4 linked regions of the Rattus norvegicus genome follow. The protein of the gene in region 2 interacts with the protein of the main gene of each other region in a pairwise test. Links are inferred from orthologs where the notes say so. Each region holds a gene or a part of one and is shown on either strand. Other genes may lie near its edges.

Region 1 (7,454 bases), on a different chromosome or scaffold from region 2:
GACTGAGGGAGAGAAAACGTCTATTAATAACCTCATCAATGAAGTTGATAGGGAAAGAGCCTCGAGGCCATGTGTGGACCTAACCATGGTGGGGCCTTAGAGGGAAGGCAAGACTTCATTAAGAGAGAGAGAAAGGGAGGGAGAGAGGCACCCTGAGAGGAATGACGGGAGGCTGGCCAGAGGAGCCCTTCCGAGAGCAGCCTCAGAGCACCTCTCAGAGTGGGTCCCATTGAGGAATCTCAGACTCTTTTTTTTTTTTTTCCCCAACAAAGCAAAGGTCTGACATGTTATGGCTGTGGAGAGCCTATGGAAAATTTCAGATGGAAAATTTCAGATTGGGCAGAGTGATTTAGATCCGTGTAGCCCATGTGACAAGGAGGATGGGGAAGCCAGGTACCATGCGTTGTAAGCTGTCAAGACACTGCACTGACTACTGAATCATGAACTTCAGGGAGACGTAGCCTGACTCAGACCTGGGAGTCAGGCCTAATAGTCCAGGCCAGTGTCCTGTCACTCACCTGTTGGTTAATTCATTGGTCAGACAAACACCGTCACAGTCCAGTCACATCTCGGCAGCATCAAGGGCTGGCGACCAAACCTTGTGACACATAAACCTTTGGGAGATATTTATATCCAAGTCAGAGAAGCCTTTGTAGGGAAGTAGACAACAAGCTGTAGACGTGGACTTGACTTTGCGAGCCTGATGTTCTCCAAGGCTACTTCACTCCCAGTCCCCCTAACATCACCATAAACATAAGTAGGAGGCCAGTGGAGCTGCTGCCCAGCTCCTGATACTGAGGAGACGGAGGCCATCTGCACCCATATAACGAGTCAGAAGGCAATCTGAATGTCATAAGAACCTGGCTGGGAGCAGTGGGGGGACCCAGGAGGTGCTCAGGGATAGGCTTGGGGGTTTCAGAACCCATGTATAAAGACTCGGCTGTCAGTGAATGTCTGTGATCCCCAAGGCACTGAGTCAGAGAATGGAGATAGTGAATCCCTGGAAGCTCAGGGGTCAGCTAGTCTGGCCGACTTGCTGAGAGCAGAGGATTGGTGGGGGGCACTTCCTGTTGTCCTCTGAACTTCCTAGTATCTGCATGTAGGTTGGTGGGGAGAAGGGGGCCAAGGAGAAAGGGATGGAGAGAAAACGGGCTTCAATGGCAAAATCTATCCTCCCCACCCATAGCCCCTTTCTTTCTTTTCTTGCCCTCTCCCTTCCTTTCCCTACCCCGCTCTCCTCTGTTCTTTCCATCAAGGCTGCCCTTGAACTTGTGACCATTCTCCATGACAAGAATTGTAACCAATAATTCCTTTCCAGCCTATTGTAGGAGCTGCGAAATGGCTCAGGAGTTCCGGGTCATGGAGTAGGTATGGATCTAGAGTGGGAGCTGCAATGGGGTGGGGGGGTCAATTCTTGATGCAGACAGGGGAGCAGTGGTGTTATTATAGTTTCCTGTGTACCAAACAAGTCCCCAGAACTTCTGAGTCCCTTGAGTTCCCGAGGTAACTACAAAAAAGCCAGGAAGCCCCTGGTGGTGGGTCAGAGACTGCAGAGCTCTTGTGGCCTGAATCAGATCCAGCTGTTCATCCAGTAATGGTGACCTCCCTGCTGGTCTACTGGTAACAAAGCCTGTGCTTAACGTCCTCTAGATAAAAGCTAGGAAGAACTCCCCGGGAGCCTCGGTGGCCTGTTTGACACGTGGCTTATTTTCTGTAGTCCTAGGCACTCCACAACCTACTCACCCGTGTCTGGAGGCCACCGGGAACGAGTGCTCAGCCTCTCCCAAGCTCTTGCTACAGAGGCTTCCCAGTGGCACAGGCTGATGACAGGTGAGGTGCCCAGGCTCTGAACCCCCGCATCTGAGGAAGGAGGCCTGGAAGTTTGGACTTTACACGTTTAAGTTAACACTTTTCTCATTCTCCGTTTAGCCTCTCCAGAGAGAAATTTGGACACCAGGGGAGACTGTCTCCAGCCAAGTCCACAGCCTCCCAGTGAAGAGCTGCCCCAGGTCACCTCGTCCCCAACTTCTCACAAGGCTAACTCGGCTACCACAGGGTTCTCATGCCAAGGGAGTGGGAGAGGCCTGGCTCCGTGGGAGCCCAGGTGGGACCCTGGGAAGGCCCCTCCAGCTCTGGCCCAGGAAGAGGGGGCATGGCCCCTGAGAGTCACTCTGCTGCAGTCCAGCTTTTGACTCCTGCCTTTGCACTGGGTGCTAAAGGCTGGAAGCACAACCTTGAGGTGTGGGACCATTCAGGACCACAGGGGAGAGGTTCATTTCAGCCTGTGTTCTAGGAGGGCCGGGGCTATGATGGTCAAAGATTGATTATCCCAACACTGTCCGAACTTGGATTAAAACTTTGAACTAGTCAATAAATAGCTTTATTCTCTCTGTGGTTGTGACATTGTGTTCTGACAAACAAGCGTCAGGGCCTTGGATTCACAGGACATTGGGGGGCTACATCTTAAAATATGGGTCTGAGGGAGGAGGTTGGAGTCTGGATCCTGAGTCAAGGCAGAAGTGGTGCTGGTCTTACAAGTCAAAGGGAGCAGGGCTAGAGTCAGTCTGAGGGGGCAGAGCTGGGGTGGGGGTCCCTGAGCCTGGAAGAGGAGTGTCAGGATGGGGATCCCTGGGTCTGAAGGAGGATCATCACGGGTGGGGACCCTGGGTCTGAGAAAGAGGGCTAGGAAGGAGAGTCCTCAGTTCTCCTAGGTGTGCCTTCCTGGGAACTCCCCCTGCCAGGGTCAGCCTTCAGTGACCCAGCCTGTATATCTGGTTCCACTCCCCCGCTTCTCTGGACTTTAAAGGTGGGAAGAGGCCCAGAGGGTGTGGGACACGAGCGAGATAGCTGGGAATGGCTGCAGTAGGCCGATATTCTGGGAAGGTGGTGGTGGTGACTGGGGGCAGTCGGGGCATCGGGGCTGCGATCGTGAGAGCCTTCGGTGAGTAAGGGTCTTCCCGCCTGCTGCCTGAATTGTAGGAGAGAAAGAGCGGCTGGCAGAGGCTCCCACAGTGGGAGGAGGAGACTCAGGTTCATTTCTTTAATGATTTGTTTGTTTTTAATTTTCTCTGTGCGTTGTCGTTGTACCTGGGTGAGGTTGTCAGATCCCTCCTAACCGGAGTTATAAACAGTTGTGAGCTGCCATGTGGACGGTGGGAACTGAACCTGTGTCCTTTGGAAAAGCAGCCAGTGCTCTTAACCGCTGAGCCATTTCTCTGGTCCCTCCGTTTCATTCTTACATGAATCCATTTGGATTGTTGGGTCTTTGTTGATAGGTCGGTCATTAAAAGTTCTTCCACTGGCCTGGCAGTGGTGGTATATGCCTACAATCCCAGCACTTGGGAGGCAGAGGCAGGTGGATCTCTGAGTTTGAGGCCAGCCAGGAGAGTGAGTTCCAGGACAGCCAGGGCTACACAGAGCAACTCTATCTCAAAAATCCAAAAAAAAAAAAAAAAAAAAAAAAAAGTTCTTCCCCAGATGGGTCCCTAGCTGCAAATGATAGCTTTGTGTGTTTTATTGTTTGTAGGTTTTGGATTTTTCTAGAATCCAGGATGGGGGCCAAGCAGTGGCTTAATGAGGAAGGGTAATTTGTTGCTCTTGTGAGTGGAGACAATCTTGTGAGAGAGACAATCACGAGAGCCGCCAGAGAGGCAGGTGCTCTGGTGGCCACAAGAGGGCAGCAGAGGCAGTGACGCAAGTCTGCAGGGCAGGTAACATCGTTCTCTTTCTGTTGGCAGTGGACAGTGGGGCTCAAGTGGTTTTCTGTGACAAGGATGGTGAGTGAATCAGTGTTCATCTCTCCCTTGCCTCATCAATGATCTCTGCATAGCTCTCCTCCCTCAGACCCACATTCCTAAGCCTCCTCCCTCGGACCCAGAATCTTTCTCTTGCAGAGGCTGGGGGCCGGGCTGTGGAGCAGGAACTCTTGGGCACTGTCTTCATCCCCGGTGACGTGACTCAGGAAGGAGATTTACAGGTCAGTGTTTTCTGTCCCACACTCCATCGCCAGTCCCTCTGGGTATCCATGCCCTTGTCACCTCCGTCCTTCTGCCCTCTTCTCTCTCAGGTCTTTAGGAATGATCAGGACTTGAACTCTTGGCTCCTGTAACAAGTTTCTGACTTCCTGGCACTCAGAATCTCTTATGTGTTTCCAGGTCTAGCTCCTATCTGGGCCTCTGTCTTTCTTTGTCTCTCTGCTCCCCACTGCACTCGGGTCTGTAGACTCTCCTTCTGAGGCTCTGTCTTCTGCACACACACCCCTCCGAAGTCTTCTAAAATGGTGTGCTGGTTAGTGTTAAATCGACTGGACACAAGCTAGAGTCATTGGGAAGAGGGAATCTCACTAGAAAATGGCCCCACCAAATTGGCATGTGGGCAAGCCTGTTGGTCACTTAATTAATTAGTGGTTGATGTGGGAGTTTCCCCAGCTCCCTGGGGGTTGTGACATTGCAGGGCAGGTGGTCCTGGATAGTCTAAGAAAAGGGGCTGGACGAGGCATGGGAACAAGCCAGCGAACAGTGTTCGTCCACAGCCTCTGCTTCAGTCCCAGCCTTGAGCTTCTGCTCTGAGTCCCTGTCCTGGCTTCCCTCAGTGATAGATATGACCTGGGAGCTGTAGGCAGACATTAATCATCTCCTCTCCAGGTTGCTTTTGGTCATGGTGCTTATCACAGCAATAGGAACGCTGTGACAAGTGGCAACTGTGCTGTGTGGATCAGTCCTTTTAGTCTGGGTCCTCGACTTCCTGCATCCTCCTCTCTTTCTAGACCTATTCTGTGGCCCTGGTCCCCTTCCACCTCACCCTACCCTGTCTTCCTTAGCTGAGCCCATCCTTGCCTTGGGCCTCCTGGCTTTTCCAAGGCTGTCACCTCTCAGCTCATCACCTGCTCTTTCTTCTCTCCTCAGACTCTGATTTCTGAGACTGTCTCTCGATTTGGTCACCTGGATTGTGTGGTGAATAATGCCGGCTACCGTAAGTTGTGTGGTTTGGAGGCCAGTGTCCCTGACATCTACTTATACCCTCTTCCCCATTCCTCTCTTAAAAATTATTGCCCTATCTATCTATCTATCTATCTATCTATCTATCTATCTATTATCTATCTATTATTTATCTATCTGTCTATCTATTATCTATCTGTCTATCGATGTGCATGTGTGTAAGCGTGTGCTTGCACAAGCACTCGCACTCTCATGCACAGTAAGTACTTCTCTGGTGTTCAGTGCAACAAGAGGGAATCAGTTCTCTCCTTCGGCCATGTGGGATTGAGTTCAGGTTATCAGGCTTGGCACAAGTGTAAAGGTACAGTTGAGCCATTTCAACAGCCCAATCCTTCCTCTGAACCTCAGTTTACCCCTTCCTCAGGACACATAGCCCTCTGCCTCCCGCGTGCGCGCACATGTGTGTGTGTGTGTGTGTGTGTGTGTGTTTACACTTGCATGTATGTCTGTTCTCCCCTTGCATGACTGGTGCCCACAGAGACCAGAAGGAGTTGGATCCCCTGCAACTGGAGTTACAGGCAGTTCTGAGCCACCATGTGGGTGCTGGGAGTTGAACCTAGTTCTCTGGACCAGCAGCCATGCTCTAAACCACTGAACCATCTCTCTGCAGCCTTCCTTAACACAGAGCTCAGCCCGGCCTCAGTCTCACTTTCTTTGCTGTGTGCTTGTCACAGGAGGTTATACTGTCCTTCACGATAGTCCCAGAGCCTGGGGGAGCTCCTGCCTTGCTGATGGCTGGTGGCCCTGGGCCTTGTTGGTGACAAGGACAACCCAGACACGCTTTATCAGACACTAGGTAGTGTGGCACTCTGGGAAATTTTCATCAGCCCAACAGCTGCACCAGAGAACAATGTGTCCCCATGGCAACAAGGGCTCAGGGAACACCCACCGGGGCCCTCTTGAATATCTTCCAAAGTTGGGGTCAGAGGACTGTCCCCGGCCAGCTGGGCTCCCAGTCTTAGCTGCTTTACTTCACATCACAGTAAGGACTCAGGGTTGCTGGTCGCTCATCCTTACCTGGGTCCTTCTTTCCTTAGGCTGATGTTGACAACACCTACCAAATTCCCTTGTGGGGAGTGGTATCTAAGCAGGGAAATTCGCATTCCACAGTGAGGAGAACAGAGACCAGCTGAGGTCTGGCTGCAGAGCACTTACCCACAATCCCCCATGAGCCCTAGAATGACAGGCACTGGCTAGCTTACCCCGTTCTGCAGTCAGCATTCAGCTGCACTCAGCACTGTGTGGCCGCCATCCTTAGCTTTCTCCCTCACCCTTGGCCTCCTCTCCGACCCCATCGTCCCTGCCCTCCCTCCCTTCCTCCCTCCCACCTTCCTGCCCCGGCCTCATCCTCTTCTTCTCTTTAGACCCACCTGCACAGTTGCCAGAGGAGACCTCTGCCCAGGGCTTCCGCCAGCTGCTGGAGGAGAACCTCCTGGGGGCATACACCTTGATCAAGGTGAGACAGGCAGAGCTGCAGTTGCTGTGTGCCCTTCAGTTCATCCGGAGCACATCGCTTTGTGCCCCTTGGCTTCCTGTCCTTATTACAGTATAGCGGTTCTCAATCCGAGGTTCAATTTCCCTTTGGGAATTGAAGATCCCTTCACAGGGCTTGCCTAAGACAACCGGAAAGCATGGTTATCTACGCTGAGATCCATACCTGCAGTTGTGAAGTAGCGACAGAGATAAGTTTATGGTTGGGGGTGGGGGTCACCACCACGACAGGAGGGTGGCAGCATCAGGAAGGTGGAGAATCAGGATCTAGAAGGACACTGCCAGTCTTCATCCACCTGGGAAGTTACACCCTCCTCGCAATCTTCCAGAGCTTTCCAGCCTGCTTGGAGGTAGCAAAGAGGATGCTAAGAGAATCCAAAGTGAACTAGGCTGTGGTGGCACAGGCCTTTAACCCCAGCACTCAGGAGGCAGGCAGATCTCTGAGTCCCAGGCTAGCTTGGTCTACAGAGAGAGTTTCGGGACAACCAGGGTCACGCAGAGAAACCCTGCCTTAAAAAAAAAAAAAAAAGAAAAAGGAAGAAAGAACCGGAAGTCGTGGCTAGGGCTCAGCAGGATGCAGCTGGAGTTCCAGCACTAAGTAAGCATGATGGTGCAACCTGTGATCCCGGCACTCAGGAAGTGGAGGGAGATCAGGAGCTCAAGGTCAACCTTGGCTACACAGAGAGAAAGGAAAGGAAGCCGGTGTGACGGTCATGGCTTATGAGACAGACAGAATAGTTGCTGCTGCCAATAGGTGTGCATGTGTGGATTGGGTGGAGATGGTATTACAGTGTCTAAAGGAACAATAGAGAGCTGAGGAAGATGGTTGAGCAAGAAAGTGATGGGAGCTTCCTAATCATATTCTAGAATGTTCCATGCTGCACTCACTGACCAGCCTCTCCCTAGAAGTTCAGCCCCATGAAAATAGACATCTTTCCCTCTGACTTGTTTCTGTCAGCAATAGGA
Region 2 (6,670 bases):
TCTTCCAGAGGTCCTGAGTTCAATTCCCAGCAACCACATGGTGGCTCACAACCATCTGTAATGGGATCCAGTTCTTCTGATGTGTCTGAAGACAGCTATAGTGTAGTCATATGAAATAAATATTTAAAAAAAAAAAACAACTTAATGAAGGGACTTCTGACACTGTGAATTAAGTCAGACACCAAATGACAAATACTGTATAAGCTTCCTTATCTGAGGTATTTAGAGCGGTCATGGCCACAGGCAAAAAGTAGAAAGGTGGTGGCAGGAAAGGGGGTTGTTATTTATGGGCACTAAATTTAAGTGTGGGAAAAGGAAAGTTTCTGGAAACAGAGGTGGTGCTCACAGAACACTCAAATGCATGTAAGCCACTCAGCCAGGAACTAGTAAGCAGCCACTGTTCATAAGACCAGGAAGAAGAGTAGGGCAAACTCATGCTACGGATATTTTATCACAATTAGAAAAACAAGTCACCACCCCCGCTGTGAAAAAGCAGAACGAGCCCAGGGACAGGAGTTTGACCAAAGGATTCTTTCTGCTCGAGCCTCAGGCAAAGCACTACTTGGTACCCAGTCTTGTTATAAAGGGTGGAGGACAAGGCGTGAGGAAATGCCCTGTCCCAAAATGCCACGTGTGGACACGGGGTACCAAGCAGGTGCCACTGGGCAGGAGGAGGATGGGACACTGAGGAACCCACCCACTCACCTCCTGGACGAGCGGCTGCTGGAACAAGGGAATGAGAGGGTTCGTCCTTGGAATGTCAATGTGAATCTGAAAAACAGAAACCACGGCCCAGATTTAAGGCAGGTGTCTAAGGCAGCACACTCAGAAACACTTAGAACACAGCTTAGCTTTAGAGGGACAGACAGACAGAATATGCACAAAGCCCAGCTAGACCCACCCAGGAAGAGTATGAGCCCAGGTTAGCCACTGCTCACAGAGGAAACACCCCCAAATAAGCCGCTTAGTCAGCCAGACAGGTGTCTCCCCAGAGGACACTCTCCTCCTGCTATGGGGCGGCCAGGAGACATTTCTGCAGGCAGTGAGTGCTGAATGGGCTCTGAAGCAGCCACAGGCATGCACTGATGCTAAAGTCCAGAGGGACCCGACCATTGACAAACTTCCTGCCTTTCCTGTGGGGTCCCATGGTCTTTAGTCCTCAGAGGACGGCCTGTGGCCAAACAGCAACACTACCAGGGAGCGTGTTAGATGTGTGGGCCTCACCTCAAGACCTGCACCTATTGGTAATCCAAGGCATGGGTGGGCATGTGTGTGTGTGTGTGTGTGTGTGTGTGTGTGTGTGTGTGTGTGTGTGTATGCATGCATGCAGTGTGTACATGTTTGTACACATGTGTATGTATATGTGTGCATATCTGTGCATGTGTGTACATCCATGTACACATGTGTATGTGTGTATCTGTGTGTATACATGTATGTACACTTGCATATGTGTGGGTGATTTGTGCACACATGAAACATGAGAAGCAACACCACTGACTACTGCTAAAAACCACACCTTTCCAAGGGCACTGGAAGCACCTGTAAGCCCAGCAGTCAGGAGACTGAGGCGAGTTCAAATCAGCCTGAGCTACGAGACTTCCGATCTAAACGACAGAGTAAAACCCTGTCCCAGGAGGGAGAAAATAAAATGAATCAGGAGCTGGCTCAGCAGCTAAGAGGACAGGCTGTTCCTCCTGGGGACCTGAGTTTGGTCTCACATCATAGCTCACAACAGTCTCTACTCCAGTTCCAAGGATCCAGTACCCCTTGGGTCCCTCAACTCCCACATACACACAGACACAGGCACATGCACACACTCACACACATACATGCACACTCACACGCCCACCCGCATGAACACACATGCACACACACGTCCACCTGCACACATGCATGCACATGCACACTCACTCACTCACTCCTGACCACGCACACACACACTCACACACCTGCACACACGCACATCCAGGGTAAGTTCTATTTTTTAATTGCAAAGTCAAAGCCACTGGATAAGAAGAGGGAGGGGCCGCAAAACACACAGGACGTCCGTCTCTCCCCTCCCTGCACAAGAGGCTCCAGGAGCACAGCTCCCTGACGTCACACCTGTCTGTAGGTGTCCTGGTGGTGCTCTTCATTCCGAGAGTCATAATACTGCTCAATGAAGCCAAAGTACTCCTCCCGCTTCCGCTGCAGGGTCAGCTTGCGCCGCTCGGTGTTTGCCGGGAGATAGCCCTAAAGGCGACAGAGCCTGTCAGAGGGTGAGTTCTCACTTCAGCCTGAACGGTGACTTGGAAACCATCCCAGCACAGAACAGGAAGGCCAAGAGGACCAAGCAGGTGTTCTTGGGTTCAGCCCCCGCCCCGCCCCTTGCACTCGACCTCTTCTGGATAGCAGAAGAAGCAAGCCAGCTCTCCCAGCCTGCACACTGCTTTGGTCCCACGCCCAGGGCTGACACCACTGAGCAGTAACTACATACAAGTCAGCAGTAGGGAGCTGGACCCGAGTCACAGCCTCCCAGGGAATTACAGGATCTGGAAACTCCTGAGACACTTCCTGGTACAGATCACACATTTTCTCCCCGTGTAACACTGGGAGCCATCAGCTCAGCAAGCTGAGGGAGTCTGGGCCTTGGCAGTCGAGAGACCGGCACAGAACTCTGGCAGCCTGAACAGCCATTCTTCTTCCTAAACCTCCTGTCCCTTTTCGGCTTGCCTAATGCATTCTGAGCACATCTGAATTTACTAGGAGTGGCCGAGGCACCAACTGCACGGCTGTAAGACCAGGGCCAGGGGACAGTGACAACACGTGTGCCCTTCCTCTCAAAGGCTTTTACGTAGTGTTCTCCTTAGTGGGTGGCTGGAGAATTGGCACGGTGATGTGGGGAGGGGGTTACTGTTTGATCTGGGGTACGCACCCAGCACCTGGCCCTGGGCCTCTGAAAACCCTTACTGGGTGAATGGGCAGAGCTCAGAGGCCCAGAGGGAAGCGCCCCAAAGCAGGAGCTCTACAATGCTGAGTGTGGGAGAGAAAGAGCAGCTTCTGAGAGGCCCACGGACTGAGTCTTCGCATGAAGCTGGGAGACGGATTTCCAAACGCTGTCAGGAGTGTTGATGATGCCTGCTCAAAGCCAGTGCTGGGACCCTCCTGTCCTGCTAGATCCCTCCCCACAGTTAAGAAAGTGACACTGTGACCATGGGAGCCAGCTCCTGGCCTTCTCCACACATAGCCGTGGAATACACTCACCTGTGGGTGCGAGAACAAACTCTCAAGGACGTGTCCTTTGGACACAGCCCCACAGCTGTGCCAGGCAGCACTAGAGGAGTCTATGGCATCAGACCAACCTTGGCAGGCAGAGGGCTGTCTGAGGCCCACACATCTCCTCATGATGGTTGGAACTCACCGACAGCAGTCTCCAGGTCACTGGTCGAACTTCCCTGGGAACGCCTGGCCAGCTCCACTTCCTCAGTTCATCTACAAACATAGACAGCCTCACTGAACCAGGTCCTTCTGCAAGGGCCTGAAACCAACCTTGGCCAGGTGCCTCCTACCACCAAATACACTCACCACCACCACCATTGATAAGACAAGCCAAGAAAGGCTCCATGCCACAGCCTCCAGCGGCAGGGTGCCCAGGGCACCTACAGCAGCCTTTGGCTCAGAGAAGCTGTGGGTGTATGTGGGGGAACCATAGAGCTGTCCTGGTCTAGCTGCCTAGAGAGGTATGCGTCATAGGTTTTTCATGTTGGAGTCCGAGACTCCTGGGGCACCATGTGCTGTCCAGTTCCTGAGAAACCGAGGCATTCCCTCGGGCAGGGCAGCACTCAGGCCGCCTGCGCTCCTCTGCACTCCCTACAAGTCAGCGAGGCATACGCAAGTTTGACAGGACAATTGGTCTTAGACATTAATCTTGTGTGTCCTGTATACCTGGCAAACGTCACTGTATCCTGGCGACCACCGCTGTATTCTGGTTCTGATAAACATATAAAACCGTCTGATTTGCTCCCAATAAACTTGTTACAGCTCAGTCTTGCTGTGTTCCCTCCAACCTGACCTGGTCAAGATCCCTTTCTCAGAGGCCCCGCCAGGTAACCTGGGCCCAGTAAGTAAACGCTGGTGCATGCAGGCGTGGACTTCTGTGAGAACTCCTGGAGGCAGCAGACAGCGCTGGCACGGGCGCCCCACGGTCTGCAGGCCCCATTCACTCTAGTCCCTAATGTCCGACAACAGGCTTCTGACTAAACTCTGTGCATCGCTGCTCTGGCACCTGACTAGGACAAGCAAAAGAAGGAAGCCGGTAGATATGTCCGACCTCTGAGAACCAGTCACCACAGTGCCTAACTCTGCCCAGGGCCCTGGGGAACGCACCTAAGTCAGTGTTGTGGCTTGAAAGCAGCTGGCGGAACTTTTCGAGGCGGGTTTTCTCCCGGACTGTCATTGGAGGGGCCCCAGAAGCATTCTGGTCTGAGATCCGGGCGACGAGGGGGATGATGGGCCGGAGAGGGAGAGACTGTTGTTTGTGGAGTGTGTTCCTCAGGCACGTGTCACCTGAAGGGATTTGAAAAGGAGAAAGACCTACATAGGAAGGTCGCCGTCAGATGCCCCAGGTCTGCGCAGACTGTGCAGTGCTTTCTCCGGGGCGGGACCTGAGCCTGTGGCACTCCTGAGGCTGGAGCTGAGAAACAGTGAGACAATGAGGTCCGCAGGGCTCTGCTTCCAAACAGAGGGACTGCACCTGTACCACAGAGGGCAACTGTGGCCAGCTGACCCCAGATGTCGCTGTGACTTCTAAGAATGTACGTGGTAACACCAAGGGAGACGAAACTTTCTATCCTACCCTGGATCTTAAGCTGCCTTAACCTGGTGAGTGCGGTAGCCACAGAGCTAAAGCAGAGTGTGGAGGGCTAGGCCGTGACAGCTAAAGCAGAGTGTGGAGGGCTAGGCCGTGGCCCTGTGTACAACCCTCTGGCTAGGCACATGGCTGCCCTCACAGCCAGGCTCAACCTTGGCCTGCACTTGGCCCACAGGAGCCCTTCAAGGTGTATAGGAAGCTCTGGCCTCAGGCAACCCCGTGCCAAGTAGCCAGCTCCTCTGCTCCATGTTCCTCACACAAATGAAGCAGCTTTGAATTCTGCTGCTACCACCAAAGCAGGGGAAGCTGGACTCTGTTCCACTGTAGATGGTCTAACTCAGCTGGTGCCTGCCACCTAGAGGGGGCCGTGCCCGCCATTTCAGCATGAGCTCCCATGATCCCTTACGACACCTGCTAAAAGTTTTAGTGACTTTACAGAAGAACAAAGTCAGCCTAGGAACTTGAGAAACTGGGGCGGTGGAGGGGGGCCTCCAGGCTGTCTGACTCCAGCGCCCTTCAGAATGAGCTGCCACAAAGAAAACTGTTTCAGGGACTGCCCTGCTAGGGCTGGGTCATGTTCCTCAATACCTAAAATGAATATATTCCACAGGCCAGCACTGCAGAAGCTTGCGACAGCCGCCATAAGGCACCTGACTGGGATGCCTACGGTGACAAGTGGGGCTGAGAAAATGCAGAATGCATGCAATAAACTTAGGCAGATGGGCATCTCCGGCATCAGCTGTTTACAGGCAGATGTGCAGAAGGAACCTCCACAGGGGGACACGTGGGGGGCCTGGCTGCACAGGGCAGCCTGCAGGGATCGAGGCAGGGGCCTTCCTGACATTGAGAACCTCATCCATAGCTTAGGCCACCTGGCCAATCAGTGCTGAATGCCTGTCTGAGACTGGCACTGTGGGTTCAAGCTGGGCCCGTCTCAGTAGACACACAGGGGGGAATCTCAGTGAAGACTCCACGGCCAAACTGCATGGCCTTGTGTGAGGTCTGAGGCTGTTGAAGAAACTTAGGGAAGCTGAGGTAGGATCCTCTGAGGCTCTGACATCCTCTGTCCTTTATGCCCATGGCCTGTGAGCTTATTAACTGTAGCTAGGATGAGGGAGGGCACTTCCCTGCCCAGGTCGGAGTGGCCGGTTTATTTGTAAAGCAACACTAGTGGGTCCTTAAAAATGTACACAGAAAGTGCCCAGACATCTAAAGTCACCATCTCCCTCAGCAGGAACTGAGGCCAGCTTCCCAAATTAGAAAAACAAAACAAAACCTGCAGGGCTGCAGGGCGGGCTGATGTCAGGGGCTCTGACCTGGTCCCTCAGTACACGCTGTTTGCATCACAGAAATGGGAAAAGGGCCTCCTGAGGTGGGCGGCCACTCCCCAGGGCTGAGGAGGCGGACTATTTGTGAATTCATTCCCTGGCACCTTTAAACACATCTAGTATTTGTAAACCTGCCCAGGCCTAGAGCAACGGGAAATGTGTGGCTGCCACTGCAGGGAAAGGGACAAGGGGGAGAGTGTTGGCGAAGGCCATAGGGAAGGGCGGGGACAGCCAGTGTGCTGGCGTCAGACCTTTGGCTGAGTGTTTTTGTTTTTGTGCATCCTCCTGCCATAGAAGATCTGGGCAGGAGGGAACTCTTCTCTGTAGCCGAGCTCCACTGAGAGGATACAGAAGGGCAGGATGGACTCACTGGAATTTCGGGACAGCTGGGCGTCACTGCTGGACTTTATGACCTTGTAGTTGGCAGGGACGTCCGATGTTGTCGACTGCGACCGTTCCGGTTTCACCCTCAGCTTGCTGTGGTTTTCCAGGA
Region 3 (6,670 bases), on a different chromosome or scaffold from region 2:
CAGAAGGGGCTGGCCAAGCCTCGACCTGCTTCTCATTATTACGGCTAAAGGAACAGGCTAGCTGAAGCAGCCATGGTGCCCAATTTTTTTATGTTACCTTTCTGTTCCTTGAACAGTTAAAAAAAATAATGGCAGGACTTTTCTCTAAGTGAATGAAAGAAAATACAACAAATAATGCTAATATTTCAATTTTCTACCAACAAGAGTTCTTCTACAAAATCCAACCATCGACTGCTAGACAATGGAGGTGAGAGGCTTGGAGCCATTTAAGTTGTTTATGAGAACAGGTAGAGTCAGGGTCTAATTCATATATTCGGTTAACAAACACTGTTGGCTTGCTCTATCCTGAGCTGTTGGTCATGCCAACTTCCTGATTGTCATCAAGTTGAAAGAGACAAGCCACAAAACAAGTCAGCCAAATATAAATCAAACAAGAACGGAACAAATCATTCTGATTCGGATTTGAGGGGAGGGTTTCTCTGAGCATAAGGTTGGCACCCAATTCCGGCTGTCGAGGATATAGGGTTTCAAGCAATTGCAGGATTAAAAGCTAGGAAACTGCATGCTTTGCATGTTTGAGAAATGATCAGAAATGAGCCCAAACCAGGGGTCCGAGCCTGGGCAAGCCACTGCGGTAGGCAGTGCAGTAGGCAGTGCGCAGCTCGGCGCTCCTGGCGCGCATGCTCAGTGACCACACTGATGATCCGCCCTGACCAGCCAAGCTACCTCCTGTTCAGTTTGGGGGAATGAATTCAGCGCATTACCAAGTACCGTGCAGGGTCTAAGTCTCCCATCATTCCCTTCAGGTGTGTGTTTTCTGTTCTGACAGCTTTGTATCTTCTGTCTGAGATCTGAAAGATTAGCAGATAAAAGGCATGTGTAAAACTCGCGATGGGAGCTCGTCATCTTCATTAACTCTGTCCAGGTGGGTGCAAATCCTTTCTGTGGCGTGGAGGAAAACATCCACCCTCCCACCACTTGGGTTCTCTTCCTCCCCCACCAACTTCCTGTTTGAGCAGTGCTAAATCTGAAACACTTAAATATTTACTTTTCCCTACCAAGTCTGAAATTCCATTTCTCACATACAGGAATTATAATCACAATGAAGAAAACTTCTCGAAAATCCTCTTGTCCGTTGCACTTCTTCAATGCCCAGTTAACGTTTACAGTAAGCGTACATGGCTTTAATCCGCTCCTTCTGGTGTTCTGGCTTGCTCCCTTGTGTGCCTATGACTTGCTTCTGTAGCTCTTTCTTCTTTCCCTGGTGTCATCTACCTGAATGTTGGGATGACAGATTCGTGCCCCCATACCTGGCTCATTACTATACGAAACCCTTGCTTTAAACATATTTACGTTTGTGAATTAGAAGATACATGCTCACTGACAAAGTCCGGGAAAGATGGCAGTATGAAAACGAAAGGGGTCGTTCTTGCAGCTGCCCCTGACTGCAAGGCGCCCTGAGGTGCGCGAAGTGCCCTGTGCTGGCTTTCCGTGTGTGTGGTACAAACTGGTCAGTCTGCGGCCCATAACGTGATGAAGGCCCAATCTTTTCTGTTTTTGTACATACACGAGATTGAACTGCTCTTATGGAAATTGTCTCGATTCATGTTTTGTGCTCTGAAATCACCTACATTTAGAGTGAAAGGGCCGTAAAGCCTGTGCTGTCAAAGCAGGCTAACATTATTAGAGAGCAAGGAAACAGAAGGAATAGGGAGGATGGCAGGAGCGAGCATCCCTTGCAGGGTTTTAACGTGGAACTCAAGATCTCTGCTGCATGCTGAGTGGATGTTTAGTGATTTTTATGTTGTTTTCTCCGTGTTTAAAACACGACAATGTGTTAAATGGAGAGAGGGGCAGGATCTTCGAGCAACCTGGAATTGCTCTCTAAAAAACAGTTTAATGGAAAGGTCCTATAGCAAATGACTGAGGAAGGTACAGGGCAGTGCGATGTGCAAAGACAGCTGCAGGAGAACCTCGGCAAGCAACCGATCACTCATGTGTGCGCTGTCTGCTAGGTCCCTAGTGTTTCTTTGATGGTACTTTTTGTCCACGGCTCAGGGTTTTATGGGACAAGTCGCCAAGGCTTTTGACAGACCTAGGGCGAGGCTAGGATGAACATGGGCAGGAGCCAGCCCTGGAGAGTGCTCTCCTGTACGTATACATACCTGTTGCTTTGCTAACATTTTTTCTTTTATTTCTAATTCTATCTTTAGCTGTCTTTCCAGAAGGGCAGCTTTCTTCATGATGGTTGCTATAGTGACCTCCTTCTGGTGAAGTTCCTGGGTGAGTTCGGAGATCTCGTTCCTCATCCGTTCCTGTTCGGAGCACAGGTCTTCCTCCTGATAGAGCTGGCTTCTCATCTGGTGAGAGCGAGCAGAGACGTGAGCAGCCCCTCCCTCACAGCGCAGCTGCAGCGTGTGCTGGGCTCCCAAGAATACCTGTGGCCCATGACGGCCTACTTCTGATCATTGCTAACTGACAAGGGGCACCCTAAGTTAGTTTCCTTCCAACCCCAGATACCTCACCATTGTCATGTGCAGTGTCCCTACTGACTCAGCTTTCTGACAGACTTGACAGAAATTGCTACTTAGTGATTTATTGTGTTTTGAGGCAGGGTCTACGTGCACACCCAGACTGGGCTATCTTTGGCTCCTCATGCTCTGGCCTCTGGGCTCATGGGTGTACAGCACAAAGTCTGGTCATCATCTATGGAGAAACAGTGGCCTAAGGAGGGTAAGCATCTTGCTGGAGTCATAGGAAGAGAAAGTGCCAGATTCTAGACCGAAACTCATGGTCCTTGGCTATATTTACATATTTTTTAAACAATAAAAGAAGCGTAAATTCTGCTGGCAGCGGTGACTCCACACTATGTCTCAGAACCATATTGTAACACACGAAGCTTAATGTGGTGGTAGGAATGTCTTACTGGCCTCTTGTAACCCCTTGGAGTCTCTCATCATCTTTGCTAGTTTTCTCATAGCAGAAACTTTTGGACCTGGGCTCCTTACCACCCTCACCTTTCCAAATGCAGGCGGCAGCAGTCCAGGGCAACCCCCTCAGGCCCTCTGCTCTCTATCCCCATTGCTCATACCACACTGCACCCCCTACCCCGGCATCCTTTTAAAGACACGACCACTTCTCCTCCCTTAGAAAAACGAACATATTTATATCACAGGGTTGTAGTTGCGTGTGAGGGATGTCCTGGAGGGTGCCTAACCCAGCTGGTCTGGGGGTGTGATTTGTATCAGTCTGGTCTTCTCAGAGGAGAGGTTATCACACAAAATACTGAGGAGAAGATGCAAGCCAGCCAGGATGCAGCCAAGGGTAGGGACCAGAGAGCCATGTGCACTGAGGGAGCTTGGTGTGTTCTGACCAACTGTGCCCTAAGAAATAAGGCCAGAGAGGGAAGTCAAGAAAATCCACAAAGAAACTTCTATGAATGTATTCAGAAACTTAAAAGGTGACAGGAGACTGTATTTTCTCTTTAAAAGCCCAGTGTACATGTCTAAAGGAATAAGGGTCTCACCCCTCCTTTCTGTCTTTCCTCTTTCTTCCCGGAACCCATGCTAGCATCTTAATGACTAGTTCTTCCATATCACCAAACAATTTCAGGCAGAATTCAGATGTGAAATTGTCCCAAATCTCCAATGCTCAAGTCTATAAAGCTGGATTAGGATCTCACCATGCCAGCTCCCTTTCTAGCCACTCTTTGTCTCTGTTTGGTCTTTTCCTTTAATCTCTAGTTACAGTCCTCACGAAAGGCAGTCACTTTCTAGAACCTCGCCCCCATCCATCTTGGGTTATACCCTGGGACAGCCAGGTTCAGGATTGGCACCTGAGGAAAGGTGACCTAATGCCGAGTAGCTGCTTTCAGAGGCCAATCTGCTGGATCCCAGGCTGGGTCCCATCCACTCCTTATCTGTTCCTGCTCTAATTGTTAAGGCTAGAAATGTGTCTTAGACACCACATGGTCTTGACTTTGCCATTCAGCAAACAGGAACCAGGAGCTAGTTTCTAGCTCCCCAAATCAAGAGTCTCAGAGAGGGGTGCTAACCCCAGTATCTGTTATGGGTCTCTTTAAATTACATGTGTTTATATGTGCACGTGCATGCCACGGCACATGTGTGCAGGTTCGGAGAACTCACAGGTGTTGGGTCCTTCCTCTACCTTGAGTCTTGGGGATGGGACTCAGGTTATCAGGCTTAGCTGCAAGCCCCTCTATCTTCTGGCCACCTTGCTCACTCCCTCAGAATCTCTTTGATCCCCACTCCCCTCCATTTTCCCTCCTGGCAGTTTCTTTGGTGAACCAGCCATATCATTCTACAGTTTGACAGTCTGGATTTTATGGTTCATGTCCCTGTGGTAAACTTCAACACCAGCCTCTTAAGGATGAAACTGGGAAAATTAAGAAAATAAATATGCTATTCTGAAAGAGGATTAAATTTTTATTAGTTTACAGTGGTTAGATATTGAAACAATGTGCTCTTCCACAGAACGTGTTTCTTAATGAGATTTACTTATCTGTGCTTCCAATGACGTGGCTTTTTTTAAATGTGAATTTTATCACAAAATAAGTGAGTAAAAACAGCTCTGTACCCACAAAAGAAAAGCCACGCCCAAGGTTCATAGCACATGGCCCTCGATAGTGTTAGCACAGTGGAGTGGAAATGTTCTTTGCAGATACTTCTGGGAGCTGCAGCCAGCTAGTCCAGCCGTCCACCACCACCCTGCAAAGGGCAGTGCCTCTCCTTCACCTTGGTCTCACTCACACAGGATTCCTGACTTTACTCTGCAGTTCTGAGTTTGTCAGAAGCCTCGGAGGTCTAGAAGCATGTAGTCATATATGGCATTAGACACTCCCTTTTACTGTGACTCAGTCTCATGGAGTGTCAGCAAAAAGCAGCTTTTGAAAGTTTATATATTTGTTTTTCGAGACAGGGTTTCTCTGTGTAGCCCTGGCTGTCCTGGAACTCACTTTGTAGAGCAGGCTGACCTCATATTCATAGAGATCTGCCTACTTCTGGCTCCCAAATACTTGAATTAGAGGCATGGGCCACCACTGTCCAGCTGAAAGTTACATTTTTAAAACAGCAAAATCAGTGGGATTCTGTGGTATCAGTGTTCGAAAGAGGGAGGAAGTGACAATTGCTCTATAACACATTTCTTAGGCTGGACTGCATTCATTCTTTTTTTTTTTTTTTCTTGGTTCTTTTTTTCGGAGCTGGGGACCGAACCCAGGGCCTTGCGCTTCCTAGGCAAGCGCTCTACCACTGAGCTAAATCCCCAACCCCGACTGCATTCATTCTTAGATACCCATCTCTGCCAGGATCTGCCTTTAAGGGGATGAAGGGTAGAGTCAGGGTCTTGCTATGTAGCCTAGGATGGCTTCAGACTTGTGGCAATCCTCCTGCCTCAACCCCTACAAGTATTAGGATTGTTTGTGTGAATTACTACACCTAGTTAAGATCTTTCCTTCCAATGCATTCCTATTGAGACTGACAACATAATTACTAGGGAGGTATATTGGTTATAGAAGAATGAAGAACGCAGGGCTCTGTAAGAACCAAGCCCAGACCCTCCTCACCTCCTCATCTTAGGCTTTTAGCTCCTGGCAAAGTGCTTGGCCTTTGCTAGGCTCTTAGTTAGAAATGTAGGTGTGGCCCAAACCATCAGTAGCTCACATCTGTGAGGTGATCCTCTAGGTCCTGTTCTCAGTATGTAATTTGCATTAGCTTGAATTTCAACAGAGGTAGTCTCTGGGGTGACAGAGCCTACATTCAAAACTAGTGTCTACCAATTATTATCTGTGTAAAGTTGAATCTCTTCAGCTTCTCTGTGTCTTAGTTTTTTAAAGGTGAAAAGAGGATGCTATAGGATCTACTTTGTAAGATGTTAAATCCTTGGGGCAGTGTCCCTGGCGCATGAGAGTGTCAGCAGGTATCAGCTCATTTCACACCTGTCATCACCTCAGGGTGGTGGAAGTTGTATATTTCCTCTGAGTTGAATCGTTCCCTCTTGTACAGAACGCAGCGCTCATAAAGCTCAGGAAAATAACAACACATTGCAAGGGAAGGCTCGAGAAGCCCATGCACTGTTGTAAGCAGTCAATGGTTGCTGAGACCAGGGACTGCAGTGAGCGGCTGCCAGGAGCCCGAGGATCAGTTTCTGTGATGTGTGACTCTTCCTTCATGGGCTTTTCAGTAATGCAGCTACCTTTGAATCACACATGATGCTGTAAGCACACACACACACACACACACACACACACACAGCCTCCTTCTGACAATGGGAAACTCATTGGTTTACCAAATGAGCCTTGAGTACAATTCTTCTTTGGCCTATAGTCAGTGCTCCATTTGGAGTGACAGACATTTGTTCATGCTTCCCAAGGATGAGCCATCCAAACAGTACTAACCACATCCTAGATGAGGTCCCTTAGGCAGGTCAGTCCCCCAAGGTCACCCAGGCACTGAGCAGCAGCCTGGGCTCTCTCACAAGGGCACACCCCACACTGGATTCTCCCATGGCGGAATAACTGAAGACTTGTGCTCACACAGAGTATCAGAATTAACCACTTGGCCGATTATGGCTTTCAGAGGAAATACATCAGGCAAAGGAGAGGAGGATGGAGGAGAGCTTGGAGCCAATTTTATGCAGAGACATTAGAGCT
Region 4 (7,461 bases), about 2.7 Mb from region 2:
GCTGAGCCATCACTCTCCACATCCCCCCCAGCCCCCCCAGCCTCCCCCCTCCCCCCGTCTCTGGCCTGGCCCACCTGCACTTTCATGAGCCGCCCCACGTACGAGCGGTAGTATGACAGGTAGATCTTGCTCAGCGTCTCTACGTACTCATCCCTGACCTCCTTGGCTGTAGCACGCTCGTTGCCCAGCAGAAACTGATAGAAAAACCTGGAAGGACCGGGGTGAGTCAGACACCCTGGATGCCCACGCTGGAGGCTGAGAGGCTCGCTCATGGTCACCCTGTGCCCATCCCGGGGGGGCCACCTGTACTTCAGCAGGGCCGTCTGGGGGATCTGATAGTTGGTCATCGGCTTTCGGAACGAGTAAATCTTCTGGAGAATGAACTCACGGATCTTTGTCACCGCCTGGATGTGGGGTACAGACAGGCCGTGAGGTGGGAAGTGAGAGAGGGGACACAGGAGAAAATAAAGGTAAGGGAAGAATACTTCATTAGTGCTCTGGTTATGGAAACAGGGTCTCTCTGAGCAGCCCTTGCTGGCCGGGGACTCACAGAGGTCTGCCTGCCTCTGCCTCCTGAATGCTGGGGGTGAGTGCATCGCCATGCTGGCCTTATTTTTTCAGGGCTTTTTGTTTTGTTTAAATATGGAAGGCTTTATAAATTTCATGTTATCCCACAGGGGCCATGCTAATCTTCTCTGTGTTGTTCTAATTTTAGTACCCGCACTGCCAGTGCAAGCACTGCTTGTTCTGAGATGGCGTCTCACTCATGTATCTGGGGCCTGGCCCCAGACTCCGTTTCTTCTTCACCTCCTGAGTGCTAGGACGACAGACTCGTGCCATCCTGCCAACGCAGGAGGCACTGGGGATGGAACCTAGGGTTGTGTGCTTTACCAATGGAGCCACACTGCAAGCCTCCTTTGATTTTCAGGGGAGGACTGACACTGACACTACATAGCGGGAAGCAATGTGGAGCTCTTGGGAAGCTGACTGTAAGCAGCCGCTCCCCACCTTGACCCGGAGCCGGTCGAGCACGCCTCTGACGTCTGCACAGGCGGCCGTGCCTCTCGCCTCCTGCTCTCTGACCGCAGCCGCCTTGGCGTCCAGCTCCTGGAGCTGCTCCAGGAACCTGGGCTCTGTCACTGGAGCTTCGAGAATTGCTCTGGGGAGCAAGGGAGGATGGGAGTGGTTAGATGGAAGGACTCAACAGCTCCCGCACACCTCACGTGTCATTCTGGCCTTTCTCTGTGGTCTCATGCCTCCATGACGTATGTACAAAGTCTTCAACTCCTGAGCCACACCTCCTCACGTGGCCCTGGATCACTCCTAACCTGTGCCCCATCCGTGTCCCATCCGTGTCCCATCCTGTGGTGGCCAAAGCAGGCTTAGGAGTTTTAACCCATCCATGAATTCCTGTAATTTTTTTTTTCCGGAGCTGGGGACCGAACCCAGGGCCTTGCAGCGCTCTACCACTGAGCTAAATCCCCAACCCCAACATTTTTTTTTTTTAAACAAGATCTCACTCTATAGCCCAGTCTGGTCTACTTGCAGCAATCCTCCTGCCTCAGCCTCCCAAGCATGTGATTATGGGCATGAGCAGGCACACCTGGTTTCTACGTGGTACTGACAACCCCAGCCGGGAGACCTATGTGGTAAACTGGGTAGGTAACCCAGCCCAGCCACCTGCTCTGGACTTGAAGACCCTTCAAACCAGTGACTCACGTGACCAGAGCAGAGGGCACCACTAGCCCATCGACGAGTTCCCCAAGTTTCCCCCGAACTGCCTGCCGGTTACGAAGTCGGATGTTCATGGCCCCCGACTGCTCCTGCAGGGTGCGGATCTCACAGCTGATGGAGCTGAGGTCGCTCTGAAAAGCTCCCAGCATCTGCTCCATGCGCTGCAGGGAGGGCAGAAAACACTGTGGGTGTGACTCCCGGTTGGTGGGAAATGGGGCAAGTGTACGACCCAAGTCTCTGAACGAATGAGCCGGTATCCGGCAACCCAGGAGGTGGGAGATCTTCACTTGTCCAAGGGGGACAAAAAAAAAGAAAGAAAGAAAGAAAGAGAGAGAGAGAGAGAGAGAGAGAGAGAGAGAAAGAAAGACAGAGCAGAAGGCAATTAGGTCCGGTCTTGGACAACAGGTTAGGGCCACCAACCTCTAGGACGGCATCACAGGCTGTGATCTGATTGTGCAGAGAGGCTATGTTTTCACTCTCTTGGATGTCTGACCCACAAAAGTCAAGGGCTTCACACTGAACGCATAGCTCTGTGGGTCTGCAGTACCTGCCCCCAGGTTCTCCCCAAGGTGACCGAAACCTGAGAGAGACGCCCTCCCCTGTGGAGGCTACCTGCATCACACATCCCCATGCCGGTAACACCCATCTGTTTCCTCTGCTGGAGGATACAGTCCCGGATTGACTTCTGCTCAATCTGCTGCAGCTCTAGCTCCACCTGCTTTGAATAGTGTCGAAGATCCACACCCTGGGGGAAATGACAAAGTCAGGAAGAAGTCACAGTGGGAGGACCCCAGAACAGACTCGGTGACTGGCTGGAGGGGAGCCACCAAGGTGAGGCGACAGCAAGAGTCAGGGAAGGTGGGGATCAGCGGAGTGGGGATCCTCACCGTTTTGAGAGCTTCCTTCACTAACTCGTCTTCCAGATTTGCCTGGATGTGAACTGGAGACAAGTTTATCATTAAGGGGTCCCCTTGCCACACCTCCCTCTGCCCACACTGGGCTCCTGCACACAACGCCAATCTCCCCTTTCCTCCAGGACAGTTATAGGCACAGTTGCTTTGCCTGGTGGGACTTTCTTCTGTTTCAGCTCCTCTTCATCTACTCAACCACAGATCAAAAGGATTACGTGGGAATTTCCAAAGGAGGTTACCTCTCACTTGGCCTTGGATGTGAAACACCTTTGCTCTGTTGATCTATGACAAGTGCTGTGCCTACCTCTCGATCGCTCGGTCTTAGCTGGCTGCACACTTATGTTCAAACGGGCTTTATTTTTTACTTAATAATCATCCCAAATAGCAAAAAGGGATGCAGCAAATTCATTACAGTGTATTGCTATCAATTCTTACTGAGCTGAAATTAGAGGTTAAACCTTCTCAACTCATAGATTAAACTTTGTACGTCCATTAAGAAGAAGACCATAGAGGGCCATCTACTGGGGGGTCATGTAATCTATTCCTAAAGAACAAAAGGGTCTACTTTGCCCCCACCCCATGTCACCACTTACCATCCACTTCATCCAAGATGAATTCATCAGAGGTGATATCCAACTCCCCGAGTTGTAGGGGCTCTTGGAGTCCAGAACCAGCCCCCTGAAGAGGGACGGGTTAATGAATGTGGGATACAAAAAGAGACGTTGGAAACAAAATAAAACCGGATATCCCTAATCCCGCAAGTGAGGTGAGGGGTGCTTTGTGGGGGAGGGGTTGCCCAGAGGCTAACATTGTCAGCTTACAGTGTTTACCCATGTGTCAGGTGCACCCTTAAACATACTCATTTGGCTAATCCTAACGACCACCTACAAGGCAGGTCCTATTAACGTTGTCACCGAAAACAGCATCGCCTTCAAGTGATGCGGCTGGAAATGGGACCCAGGCAATCCGGTTCCAGAGGCCACGTTCTTAATCTTATACACTATGTTCTCATTTCTACTAAAAAAGCGTGAACAAGAAAGTGACATTGTGTCCCTGGGACTTGAGTTTCAGCCACTTGGGTCCCTACGAAGGCTTGGTCACCATCACCCTTAGCAGGACGAGCCTTGTGTCTGAACCCAGCCTACGACTTCCTGAGGAAAAGGACGACCTGACGACACTCCGGAGGACAAACAGCCCCGTGCTCTCACCAGCGGGCCCTCCTCCTCCTCCATATCTGAAGCGCCGGCCCGCAACACCAGCTCCCGGGCAGCAGCCGCCATGGTCGCCGCGGCTGCCATTCCCCCGCAGCCTCACTTCCGGCAGCTGTCAGTCTCTGAGAGTCCGTTTCCCGAAGCAAAGCCACAAGTCCTGGAACGTCTTCTACGGAGCAACAAAAGGTTCCCAGATAGTTGAGCTAACGTGATTGGCTCCAGAGTCCCGTTAGGCTTTGATCACTTCGGTCCGGTGCAAACGGGAAGGTGAACGTCTTGAACACAACCCTGCTCCGGAACCTTTCGCTCCTCGGCCGCACAAGAACCCTACGACGCCAAAGAAGACCGAACCGGAAGTTATAGCTCCTGTCCTATGCAAACCAACTCCTCCCTTAGGGAGAGGCCGGGAGAGAAGCAGTTTCCGGAAGCGGTCCTCCGGGATAGCCCCGCCTCTTCCTCCAGGAAGCTATATAAGAACTACACGTCACTTCCGCTCTCTCTTCCACAGGAGGCCTACACGCCGCCGCTTGTGCCGCCGCCATGGTAAGAGCGGAATCAGCGCCGAGATCCGGCGACATCGGAGCCGGGGCAGGGAGAGTTTTCCGTCAGGGCTCAGAGAATGCCCTGTGCTGCGGGTCTGCAGCCTCCCCTGAAGCGATGGAGCGCGACCGGGGAGGGGACGACCTAAGACGTGAAATTCCAGGGAGCAGGGACCCTATGAAGGGTCACTCCCCGGACACACCAAAGTTGCCAGGAGCTTGGCTGCTGTGTAGGGTCCTCCGGACCCCCCTCCTCAGGGTTCTTGGGGCGGCGGCCAACGTTCACCCTCAATGTCAAAGGTTGCGTTTTCCCGCGCCCGAGCGCGTTTGGCGCGTGTGATGGTCACAGGTGACTGAGGAGTTGTGTAAGAACTTAGGAGGAGGAGGCGCTCCCTGGATTCCATCCCCCCGCCACGGCGACCTTCTCGGTTTGGGGGTTGCCTGTCTTTGATAATTGCCCGTGTTCTTTAGTCCCTAGTGATCCCCGAGAAGTTTCAGCACATCCTGCGAGTACTCAACACCAACATCGATGGGCGGCGGAAAATAGCCTTCGCTATCACTGCCATTAAGGTAAAAGTGTCAGGGGGCAGAGAGTAGCAACTAAACTCGCCTGACCCGTACAAGGTTAAACCAAAACACTGCTCCAGGGGAAGTGAGGCGCGCCTGTGGTCCGGCCCCACCTTGCTAAGGTTCCCCTACGTCTTCAGCTTATGAGATCGTGCTAGAGCGTTCTCCGCGGCCAGCAAGCCTTGGGGTAGGGTTCCTGCCAACCAACGTACATCATGGAAGGTGGTGATGTGTCGGGGTGGTCTAGGGAAGATGCAGGTGCCACAGTGGAAGGAAGGTGACACGGTTGAGATAGAAGCTGGTTTCTGGCAGAAAACCAAATGGTAGGTGGAGGCCAGAATGTTTCTCTTTGCAGAGCTAAAAGTCTTCCAGAGAGGGACGTAACTTTTGTCGAGGTTCGTAATTCGAGGACTGGCACGATGCTGGTCAGAAGTCTGTGTTCTCCTTGAGGGCAAGAACTAGACCTGTCCGGTGGGTTCCTGTGGGATGTTAGGATGTGAATGGAACTGGGGTGACTGCAGGGTTCAGAGAAGCTTCAAGGAAACTGCTTCAGTTTTTATGTGATGGATGAAGGAGGCCTAGGTAGCTGAGGGGGTGTCAAATGGACATTAAGTCAGAGTAAATCTTTAAGGTCCTTGCCATATTTACTAATTTAAATTCTGCACTTTGGGGGACAGTTATAGTGGGGGGAGGGTGCCGGGTATGGTGACAAGAACATGATGTCTAGGAGGTTGAAAGGCTGTTGTGGTGCTTCTGCTGTGCTTGGCCTATCTTTGTACACTGAGCATCTTGGGGGATGACTACAGTTCATATATAGTGCAGACAAGGTGAATCGAGGCGCCAATGGAGCCTGGGTATTGAGGGTTCACTTGATCTCAGGAGCATCTGTAGTGAGAGGTGAAGCTTGGGGCAAAGGATCCTTCAATCCCAGCCCTCTGGAGGCAGAGGCAGGCAGATGTATGAGCTGGGGGCCAGCCTGGTCTATAAAGTTCCAGGGCAGCCAGGGTTACACGGGGAAAAGCACCCTTCCAAAACAGATGAAGCTTGTTGGGAGTTGTGGGGGGTGATTGTGGGGTGGGCTCCTCCAGAAGTGATTAGGGTGAAGGACTGGAAGTTTTCTGTATTCCTTAAGACTTGTTCTCTGTTTCTCACTGAAGGTGAGGAATTCAATGTTTAGGAGCATATAGGAAGGGGTTGGACAGACAGAAGGACCGACTGCCCTTACCCGGAAGGCATTCTAGTACTGTTCTTCCAAACTGCTTTAAATATTAAAAGTCAGTTCTTTTATAATTTGAATAAGTGCTTCGGGAGTCAGAAAGCAAGCTGGCCTCGAGCCATAAAGCTCTGTCGTCCCTTGCCTTGTCACGATAACCAACCTGGCATCATGACCTGTTGTACTCACCTTTTACCGTGTGGAGGCTGAGGTGGGGGTGGTGAAGGTTTTTGCCTCCATGTCTTTTTTTTTTTTTTTTCCCCTTTCGGAGCTGGGAACCGAACCCAGGGCCTTGCGCTTGCTAGGCAAGCGCTTTACCACTGAGCTAAATCCCCAGCCCCTTGCCTCCATGCCTGTGGAAGCCAAACGCGTGACTAAGATCCTCTCTAATCAGGAGTTAAGAGTGCTTGGTGTTGAACCCAGGTCCTGGAAGAGCAGCCAGTGCATGGAGCCATTTCTCCAGCTGCTACAATGGCGTCCACTTCTCAGGGTTAGGGGGCAGAGTAACACCCACTCTCAAAAAAAAAAAAACAAAAAACCCTACATTCCTAAAGGCTTGGCTTTGTTCATTTGATGGGGAATGCCTGGAACCAGAGGCTGGGTGTGGAGGGAAACATCCTGCTTTTGTGGAGTTGAGTCTGACACATGTCCAGTGTATCCTAAACAGTGTTCCTTCTGGTTAGTGGGCAGGCTTGGTCTCTGGGAGAGTGATGTGGGACCTGGTGTGGGTGGGATTATCAGGATCTCTAACGGAGGCAGGCTCTAGCCATCCCAGCCTCCAGGGTGCTGGGAGACCAGATGAGCCAACACGTGCACGGGGCTGGGGGCTGGGCAGTTAGAGCGCTGGCTGCTCTTCCAGAGGCTCCAGTCAATGACCAACACTCAGCATCCGTACCTCTGGTCACTGCTTGCACGCGTGGCACAGACATACCTTGCAAGCAAACGCTCATAAACAAACCACAATACATAGGGGCTGGAGAGAGCCCAGCTGTCAAAAGCACTGACTGCTTTCAGAGGTTAAATTCCCAGTGACCACTTGGTGGCTCACAACCATCTGGAATGAGGTCCACTCTCTTCTGGTGTGTCTGAAGACAGCGACAGTGCACTCCTAAGTAAATGATTAAACCCAAGTTTCTGCCTAACCCCACTCTGACATATGAGATCCACTCTCTCTTCTGGTGTGTCTGAGGGCAGCGACAGTGCACTCCTAAATAAATGATTAAACCCAAGTTTCTGCTTAATTCCCAACTCTAACATCAGGGTGTGGGGCGGAGATACGCTCATGT

The links.
Region 1: the proteins of Tbc1d22b (region 2) and Hsd17b14 interact in binary tests that used the Homo sapiens proteins (3 or more experiments, as listed by UniProt). The link is inferred for Rattus norvegicus from reciprocal best matches to the Homo sapiens genes TBC1D22B and HSD17B14.
Region 3: the proteins of Tbc1d22b (region 2) and Deup1 interact in binary tests that used the Homo sapiens proteins (3 or more experiments, as listed by UniProt). The link is inferred for Rattus norvegicus from reciprocal best matches to the Homo sapiens genes TBC1D22B and DEUP1.
Region 4: the proteins of Tbc1d22b (region 2) and Vps52 interact in binary tests that used the Homo sapiens proteins (3 or more experiments, as listed by UniProt). The link is inferred for Rattus norvegicus from reciprocal best matches to the Homo sapiens genes TBC1D22B and VPS52.

What each region holds. Positions count from the first base shown.
Region 1 is NC_086019.1:105,162,908-105,170,361, forward strand, and holds the start of Hsd17b14 (17-beta-hydroxysteroid dehydrogenase 14), read left to right. Parts: upstream 1-2,787; 5' UTR 2,788-2,853; coding exon 2,854-2,941; exon of another isoform or gene 2,942-3,737; coding exon 3,738-3,776; intron 3,777-3,893; coding exon 3,894-3,976; intron 3,977-4,904; coding exon 4,905-4,971; intron 4,972-6,361; coding exon 6,362-6,453; exon of another isoform or gene 6,454-7,454. Other genes in the region: Plekha4 (pleckstrin homology domain-containing family A member 4), read left to right, coding at 1,319-1,368, 1,718-1,830, 1,930-2,192. UniProt on the Homo sapiens protein: Catalyzes the NAD(+)-dependent oxidation of L-fucose, yielding L-fucono-1,5-lactone, which rapidly converts spontaneously to L-fucone-1,4-lactone. Can also act on D-arabinose and L-galactose, with lower catalytic efficiency. Does not use NADPH.
Region 2 is NC_086038.1:7,639,215-7,645,884, reverse strand, and holds part of Tbc1d22b (TBC1 domain family member 22B), read right to left. Parts: coding exon 6,548-6,670; intron 4,546-6,547; coding exon 4,366-4,545; intron 3,472-4,365; coding exon 3,401-3,471; intron 2,233-3,400; coding exon 2,104-2,232; intron 772-2,103; coding exon 706-771; intron 1-705. UniProt on the Homo sapiens protein: May act as a GTPase-activating protein for Rab family protein(s).
Region 3 is NC_086026.1:20,680,839-20,687,508, forward strand, and holds part of Deup1 (deuterosome assembly protein 1), read right to left. Parts: intron 2,361-6,670; coding exon 2,166-2,360; intron 1,276-2,165; coding exon of another isoform or gene 1,228-1,275; exon of another isoform or gene 1,092-1,227; intron 852-1,091; coding exon 765-851; intron 1-764. UniProt on the Homo sapiens protein: Key structural component of the deuterosome, a structure that promotes de novo centriole amplification in multiciliated cells.
Region 4 is NC_086038.1:4,929,394-4,936,854, forward strand, and holds the start of Vps52 (vacuolar protein sorting-associated protein 52 homolog), read right to left. Parts: upstream 4,066-7,461; 5' UTR 3,944-4,065; coding exon 3,854-3,943; intron 3,324-3,853; coding exon 3,239-3,323; intron 2,675-3,238; coding exon 2,622-2,674; intron 2,480-2,621; coding exon 2,404-2,479; exon of another isoform or gene 2,402-2,403; intron 2,226-2,401; exon of another isoform or gene 2,223-2,225; coding exon 2,155-2,222; intron 1,896-2,154; coding exon 1,720-1,895; intron 1,160-1,719; coding exon 1,009-1,159; intron 734-1,008; exon of another isoform or gene 637-733; intron 405-636; coding exon 304-404; intron 208-303; coding exon 75-207; intron 1-74. Other genes in the region: Rps18 (small ribosomal subunit protein uS13), read left to right, coding at 4,397-4,399, 4,867-4,965, 7,436-7,461. UniProt on the Homo sapiens protein: Acts as a component of the GARP complex that is involved in retrograde transport from early and late endosomes to the trans-Golgi network (TGN).